Macaca mulatta: one gene and its partner. The protein of the gene in region 1 purifies or fractionates together with the protein of each later gene. This does not show direct contact. Links are inferred from orthologs where the notes say so. Each region holds a gene or a part of one and is shown on either strand. Other genes may lie near its edges. The genes, in order: OBSL1 and CAMKK2.

Region 1 (2,688 bases):
GTGTACGCTAGGGTGGGCGGAACCGGGATACCGAGCGGGAAGACTAGCGGTCCGAGACTCGGGGCTGGGGGCGGGGGAAAGACTGGGGACGAGGCTCACAGGGCCGCGGGGCGGGGCCCGTCCGAGTCAGGGGCGGGGCTTGTCCCGGTGGGGCGGGATCTGTCCGAGTCTGGGCGGGGCAGCGAGGGGCCCGAGAGGGTAACCAGGAGGCCAGACCTTCCTGTCTGATGCGGACGCGGGCTCCGGGTCTCAGCGGGCGGCCTCCGAGCTCCCAGCGCCCTGTGGTCTCGACCTCCGATACGGTGCACTCGAACGTGGCGCCGTCGCCTTCACGGGCGCTCACCGACCGCAGCTCGGAGAGCACCGCCACCGTACGTTCTGGGGCGGAGCCCGGGGCGTGAGCGGGGCGGGGTGGAGGGCAGGTACCGACCACGCCCCCTCCACGCCCCCTTCCTAGAAGCACGCGCGGTCAGCAGGGTCGGGGGAAGACCGCTTCGCAAGTCTCATGCCCAAAGCAGTGCCCAGCCTCCGCATCACCCCATACCCACCGCGCACGGTCAGGCGGACCGGCCCGGCGCGGGTCGTCCCCACCGCGCAGCTGTAGGTCCCAGCGTCCGAGGGGCTGCAGCGCCGCAGCTGGAGAAGGCGGCGCGTGCCGAGGGCCTGGAGCCGGAGCCGCGGACTGGGAGTGAGCGCGTTCCCGTCCTAGGGGCGTGAGTTGCAGAGGGTCGGGGCGGGCCCGGCTGGGCACAGGCGACCCCGGCCCTGGCAGGCGGCAGCACCCTCTGTTAATGCCAAGCAGTCTCGAGGCGCGTTTATGCGTGTCTCGTGTTCCCAGGCTGGGGTCGGGCTGTCCCCACGCCTTTGGGGTCGTGCCAGGAGCCTCTTTGAAAAAGTGTCACTTTTTGGGGACCTTAGGGCCGCCAAGGTGCTCGGGAAGCCCAGAGCCAGGTATGGATCACAGGGGACATGGGCACGGATTCTGGAGTTAGGCAAACCTGGATTCAAATATGGGCTCTACCTTTTGTCTGCCCTTGGGTAGGTAATTTGTTCCACTGAGCATCAGTTTCCTCATAGGTATCACAGTGACAAGACCTACCTCCTAGAGTTGTCCTTGGAGTAAGGGATAAAATACAATGCAAATCTTAGCACAGTGCCAGGCACATCCGCTTAAGTATTAGTTGTTTCTGTCTGGGGCATTATTATTGTTGGTGTTATGTTGAAGTGGGCTGGGCTGGGGCTGGGATCTGACCTTCTCCCAGGTAACATCAGCCAAAGCTTGGGAAAGCTCGCACTCCAACGTCGCTGTGTCGCCCTCGGTCACCTCTAGGTCCTGTGGCCCCTGCACGATGGTCACTGGGACCTCTGGGAGTGGGAGAGGGAGGACAGTGCAGAGGGAGCAGGATGGGGACCAATCTTGTAGGGACAAGGAGGACATACACTTGGGCACAAGGTGTCAGTAGAGGACACTAGCGAGTGGGGGATGAGCTGGGACAAGTGGTCCAAGAAGGACCCGTCAGTGGTGGGGACGGGGGGTGGGGGGCGGTGGTAGGCAGGGCCACAGGGCCAATGGGTTAGGAGTGGCCAACCGGGAGTCACACTTTAAGGTGGTCAGTGGGGGAGAAGCTGGGGGCCAGAGGGCAATGGGGAAACAAGCAGAGATGCCAGTGGAGTGGTCAGTAGGAACATCCTGGGGCTGGAAGCAAACATGGGGGACACTCAAGCAGAGTTGCTAGTGATGTCACCCTCAGGCAGTCAGTGGATTTGAGGGACTGGACAGGCAGAGGGAGCCATGGCAGGCAGTGTAGCCAGTAGGGTCAAGTTAAGAGTGGTCAGTGGGATGGTGTGCAGGCGGGCAGACAGCAGTGACCACAATGGCATGGGCATGCTCACAGTAGCAGAGTCAGTGGTTGGCTGAGCCTGGGGCAGTCAGGGGCCACACTCAGGCAGAGGAGTCTCTGGGGCCACACACGGCCTAAGAGTCGGGGGGGGGGGTCACACTCTGGCAGGGATGTCAATGAGGGCCACACTGAGACAGGCATGGTCAATGGGGGTCACACGAGTCGAGGGTCAGTATTCATGCCTGGGGTGAGTAGGGCCACACAGGTCAGCAGGCAGGCTGTGGTCCTGGAGCCACACCTCTCACAACGAGTCTGGCTGCGCAGCGCAGGGAATCCGCCGTGAAGGAGACGCAGCCTGAGTCAGCCAGGCGCAGGCCTTTGAGTACCAGTCGGTGACTGTGGCCCTCTGAGTGGATGTGACACTTGGGCCCTGGATGCAGCCGGACTCCACCCCGGGCCCACTCCCCGGTTACACCTTCCTGGGACAGCTCCAGCTGGAAGGTGGCGCTGCCTCCCTCACTGACGGTCACGTCCTCCAGAGGCCGCAGCACCCTCAGCTGCCTTGCTGGCCGGGGGAGATGGAGAAAGGGAGGATGAGGCCTCCAGCTCTGGGCAGGGACTGCAGTCGATCCTCATCCCTTGGTCCTGCCTACACCCCCCAACATCCAACCTAAGGTCCTGACCAAAAAAGTTCAGAACCAGTGTGCAGGAAGAAAGGGGCACAGCGGACAGACTTGGCAGGGGGAGGGCTATATTAGGGTTAGGAGATGAGGGCACAGGAAGGGGGAGAAGTGTAGTTAGGGGGTCATGGAGTCTGGGTGAGGGGTACTGTGACACTTGAAGGAGC
Region 2 (4,474 bases), on another chromosome or scaffold:
ACATCATCCGTGGCCTTGGCAGGATCCTTGGAGCTGTTTTGGGCCTTTTTGTTGTGCTTGGGATGAGGCAACCTCAGGGGAGCCTGTACAGGTGTGTCTGGGCTTGGGAGCACCTCCTTGGCACCCACTGGCAGCTTGCCGCACGGGAGGCAGCGGACGCAGGTTGGAAACAGCCCCTAGGAAATGAGAAGGTGTTTCCTGGAGGCCTGCGCCACTCAGCTTCCTGGCAGAGGAAGGAGCGTTTCCCTCATCCTGGCCCAGGTCCCGGGGCCATCTGCTCCAGGAAGGCTCTGGTGGCTCGTGATGAGCTGCCCCGTAAGAGGGAACAGGGTAGAGGCACGGCCTTGGGGGATGGCCTCTGCCTGGATTTCATGGGAAAGGATGCAGGGCCAGGGCTGACATTTTGTCAAATCCAAGCAACTTTGCAAAAAAGTCCTCTCACTCTCCACCCCCTGGAATCGAATGCTTCACTGTCCTTCCCTGGCAGAGGGCCTGTCCTGTGAGGGTTACATGGCCAGGCGATTAGCTTGGTGCTGGATGCCTGATGAGAGCTCAGTTGAATGTTAGCCGTTGCTGTTTCTAGGCTAAACTATTGTCTTTTTGCATGATTTCTTTCTTCTGCACAGAGTGTTGGTAGCTTTCATCAGGTCTTTGTAGGGTCTGTGACTCCCAAACCATTCAGGACACTGGCCTAGACTCTGTAGGTGTCTGTGAGGCGAGAAGCCCCTGGATGCATCTCTTCCTGTCAGAGCCTGCAGCACTGAGGCCTGTGTCCCCGGGCCTCCTGTCTGCTGAGCTCTGGGGTTTCACGCCTGCCCTGCCAGCGCCGAGGTCCCCGCCCTGGGTTTGAGCCATCTCTCCTCTCCATCCTCCTCCAGACCGCAAAGGCCGAGACTCCATCAGAGCTGTGAGGGAGGCCAGGGCCAGATGCCAGCTTGCCAAGGAGGCCGATTAAAAACAGCCTTGCCGGGGGCAGATGGCTGGGTGCCCTTGGCCTGGTGTAGGCTTCGATAAGCAATTGTTTTCCTGTTGGTGAGAAAAAAAAAAAAAAATCTCCTTTGACTTTCCCAGGCACTGCTGGGCCTCATTTTCTTCTCAGGAACTCTTGCAGCCCTGTCAGAGGCAGCTCTAGGATGGGGGAGAGACTGACCGCCTGCCCTGGGGGACGCAGGCCGGGCTGAGAGACACACTCAAGAGCAGACCAGCTTGCTTGGACATCAGTCCTCGTGGGAACATTCCAGAGCATAGGCTACCTACCAGAGCAGGCCGTGGGCATCTGTATTAGTCCGTTTTCACACTGCTGATAAAGACATATCTGAGACTGGACAATTTATAACATAAAGAGGTTTAACTGGACTTATAGTTCCACGTGGCTGGGGAAGCACCACGATCATGGCAGAAGGCAAGGAGGAGCAAGTCCCGTCTTACATGGACGGCAGAAGGCAAGGAGGAGCAAGTCCCGTCTTACATGGACGGCAGCAGGCAGAGAGAATGAGGAAGACGCAAAAGCGGAACCCCCTGATAAAACCATCAGATCTCGTGAGACTTACTACCACGAGAACAGTATGGGGGAAACTGCCACCATGATTCAGTTGTCTCCCACCGGGTCCCTCCCACAACACACGGGAATTATGGGAGTACAATTCAAGATGAGATTTGGGAGGGGATGCAGAGTCAAACCATATCAGCATCCAACAGGTATTTGTTGAAGTAATAGTTTTTGAGCACTTAACCACTTGCCGGGCAGGATTCTGAGTGCTTGGTTCATCTAATCCTATGACTATGGGATGGGCACCAACTTTACAGGAGGTCAATGACCGTAGGCTATTGAGCTTGAGGGGATCCGAGTTTCCTCTTCTAAGAGATAAGGATCGTGAAAAGAAGTCAAGTAGCAGCAGCTAGGGCCACGGAGAAATATCGAACTTGAGTTGTATTCTCTCGTTGATGGGGAAGCTGAGACGGACAGAGTTGATTTCTTTCTTTCTCAGATCAGTAAGGGGGAATGAGGGACAGAGAAATAGGAGATAAGACCAACTGCTTCCCTCTCCTGACCTCCTGCCCCATCTGATCCCGTAGCATCCTAGGCCTTATCATCATAACTCCAATCATGGTTACAGGTATTTTCTTTCCTTTAAAGTTTTTTTTTTTTTTTTTTTTTTTTTTTTTTTTTTTTAGACAGTCTTACTCTGTTACCCAGGCTGGAGTGTGGTGGTGCAAACTCACCTCACTGCAACCTCTGCCTCCCGGGTTCAAGTGATTCTCTTGCCTCAGCCTCCTGAGTAGCTGGGACTACAGTACCTACCACCACGCCTGGCTAATTTTTGTATTTTTATTTTTTTATTTTATTTTATTTTATTTTATTATTTTTTTATTTTTGAGACGGAGTCTCGCTCTGCCGCCCAGGCTGGAGTGCAGTGGCTGGATCTCAGCTCACTGCAAGCTCCGCCTCCCGGGTTCACGCCATTCTCCTGCCTCAGCCTCCCGAGTAGCTGGGACTACAGGCGCCGCCACCTCGCCCGGCTAGTTTTTTGTATTTTTAAAGTAGAGACGGGGTTTCACCGTGTCAGCCAGGATGGTCTCGATCTCCTGACCTCGTGATCCGCCCGTCTCGGCCTCCCAAAGTGCTGGGATTACAGGCTTGAGCCACCGCGCCCGGCCAATTTTTGTATTTTTAGTAGCGATGGGGTTTCACCACATTGGCCAGGCTGGTCTGGAACTCCTAACCTCAAATGATCTGCCCGCTTTGGCCTCCCAAGGTGTTGGGATTATAGGTGTGAACCATTGCACCTGGCCTGAATGTGACTATTCTAGATACTTTATGTAACTGCAATCTTACAACACTTGTCCTTTAGTATCTGGCTCGTTTCACTTAGCATATATCTTCACAGTTCGTCTGTGTTGTAGCATGAGTCAGAGTTTCCTTCTTTATTGTGGCTGTATAGTATTCTGTTGTATGGCTCTGCCACGTTTTGTTTATTCATTCTTCTATTGATGGACACTTGGCTATACCTTTTGGCTATTGTTAATGATGTTGCTATGAACATTAGTGTACAAGTATCTGTTTGAATCCCTGCTTTCACTTCTTTTGGGTCTGTACCTAGGAGAGGAGTTGCTGGTTATATGATAACTCTATGTTTAACTGTTTGGGGAGCCAGCAGGCTGCCTCATTGTAGTTTGGATTTGCAGTTCTCTTACTATGAGGTTGAACATCTTGCCACATGATTGGACTCTTTGGCGTTCTCTTACCACACACTCTGTGTGCATGAGTCAGGCCCGTGACAGGGCTGGGATGTTGGGTTTTTCCCTTTTGTCTTTCCTGTTGGGCTTTCCCTGCCGCATGCTGGCATAGTAGCTATTCCATCAGTTCTTCTGAAAGGACCGTTCCGAGAGCACTGAGGGACAGTTTCTGCCTCTCAGCCAGATCCTCCAGGGAGCTCTGGCTTTCTGCTGTCTGTACCTTCCTCTCTGTTACCCCACTACCACCCAGTGTCATCAGAGATACCATTTTATTCATTCATAAAATCTCTACTGGGCCCCCACTCTTTTCCTGGGACATCTAGAGAGGCCCTTTTTTTTTCCTTTTTTTTGAGACGGAGTCTCCCTCTGTTGCCAGGCTGGAGTGCAATGGCGCAACCTCAGCTCACTGCAACCTCTGCCTCCCGGGTTCAAGCGATTCTCCTGCCTCAGCCTCTCGAGTAGCTAGGATTATAGGCATGTGCCACTACGCCTGGCTAATTTTTGTATTTTTAGTAGAGACGGGGTTTCACCATGTTGGCCAGGCTGGTCCAGAGAGACCCTTTGTGATGTGGGTGACTAGCACGAAGTGGCCATCATCCACAGGTGTCTGTCCACAAATGTACTCCCTGAATTCCAGCGGTACCTGTGACATTTGTCCAGCAGAATTTGTCAAACACGTTAACCAAAGGTTAATGTTCGGTCCCAGAGATGGTAAGAATTGACAGCCTAAGGGGATGTGTTAACCTTTTTTATTTTTATTTTTTGAGACGAGTCTCGTTCAGTCCCCCAGGCTGGAGTGCAGTGGCGCGATCTCGGCTCAGTTACTGCAGCCTCCACCTGCTGGGTTCAAGTGATTCTCCTGCCTCAGCCTCCTGAGTAGCTGGGATTACAGGTGCCCGCCACCACGCCCAGCTAATTCTGTATTTTTAGTAGAGATGGGGTTTCACCAGGTTGGCCAGGTTGGTCTTGAACTCCTGACCTCAGGTGATCCACCTGTCTTGGCCTCCCAACCTGCTGGGAGGATTACAGGTGTGAGCCACTGTGCCCGACATTTCTTTTTTTTTTTTTTTTTGAGACGGAGTCGCTCTGTGCCCCAGGCTGGAGTGCAGTGGCGTGATCTCGGCTCACTGCAAGCTCCGCCCCCCGGGTTCACGCCATTCTCCTGCCTCAGCCTCCTGAGTAGCTGGGACTACAGGTGCCCACCACCACGCGCGGCTAGTTTTTTGTATCTTTTAGT

What was found.
Region 2: the proteins of OBSL1 (region 1) and CAMKK2 purify together in Homo sapiens (affinity purification with mass spectrometry; 4 studies listed by BioGRID and IntAct, with this or other methods). This does not show direct contact. The link is inferred for Macaca mulatta from reciprocal best matches to the Homo sapiens genes OBSL1 and CAMKK2.

The regions. Positions count from the first base shown.
Region 1 is NC_133417.1:124,794,117-124,796,804, forward strand, and holds part of OBSL1 (obscurin-like protein 1), read right to left. Parts: intron 2,407-2,688; coding exon 2,140-2,406; intron 1,366-2,139; coding exon 1,253-1,365; intron 706-1,252; coding exon 549-705; intron 379-548; coding exon 217-378; intron 1-216. UniProt on the Homo sapiens protein: Core component of the 3M complex, a complex required to regulate microtubule dynamics and genome integrity. It is unclear how the 3M complex regulates microtubules, it could act by controlling the level of a microtubule stabilizer.
Region 2 is NC_133416.1:128,648,240-128,652,713, reverse strand, and holds the start of CAMKK2 (calcium/calmodulin-dependent protein kinase kinase 2), read left to right. Parts: upstream 1-1,458; 5' UTR 1,459-1,565; coding exon 1,566-1,698; intron 1,699-4,474. UniProt on the Homo sapiens protein: Calcium/calmodulin-dependent protein kinase belonging to a proposed calcium-triggered signaling cascade involved in a number of cellular processes. Isoform 1, isoform 2 and isoform 3 phosphorylate CAMK1 and CAMK4. Isoform 3 phosphorylates CAMK1D.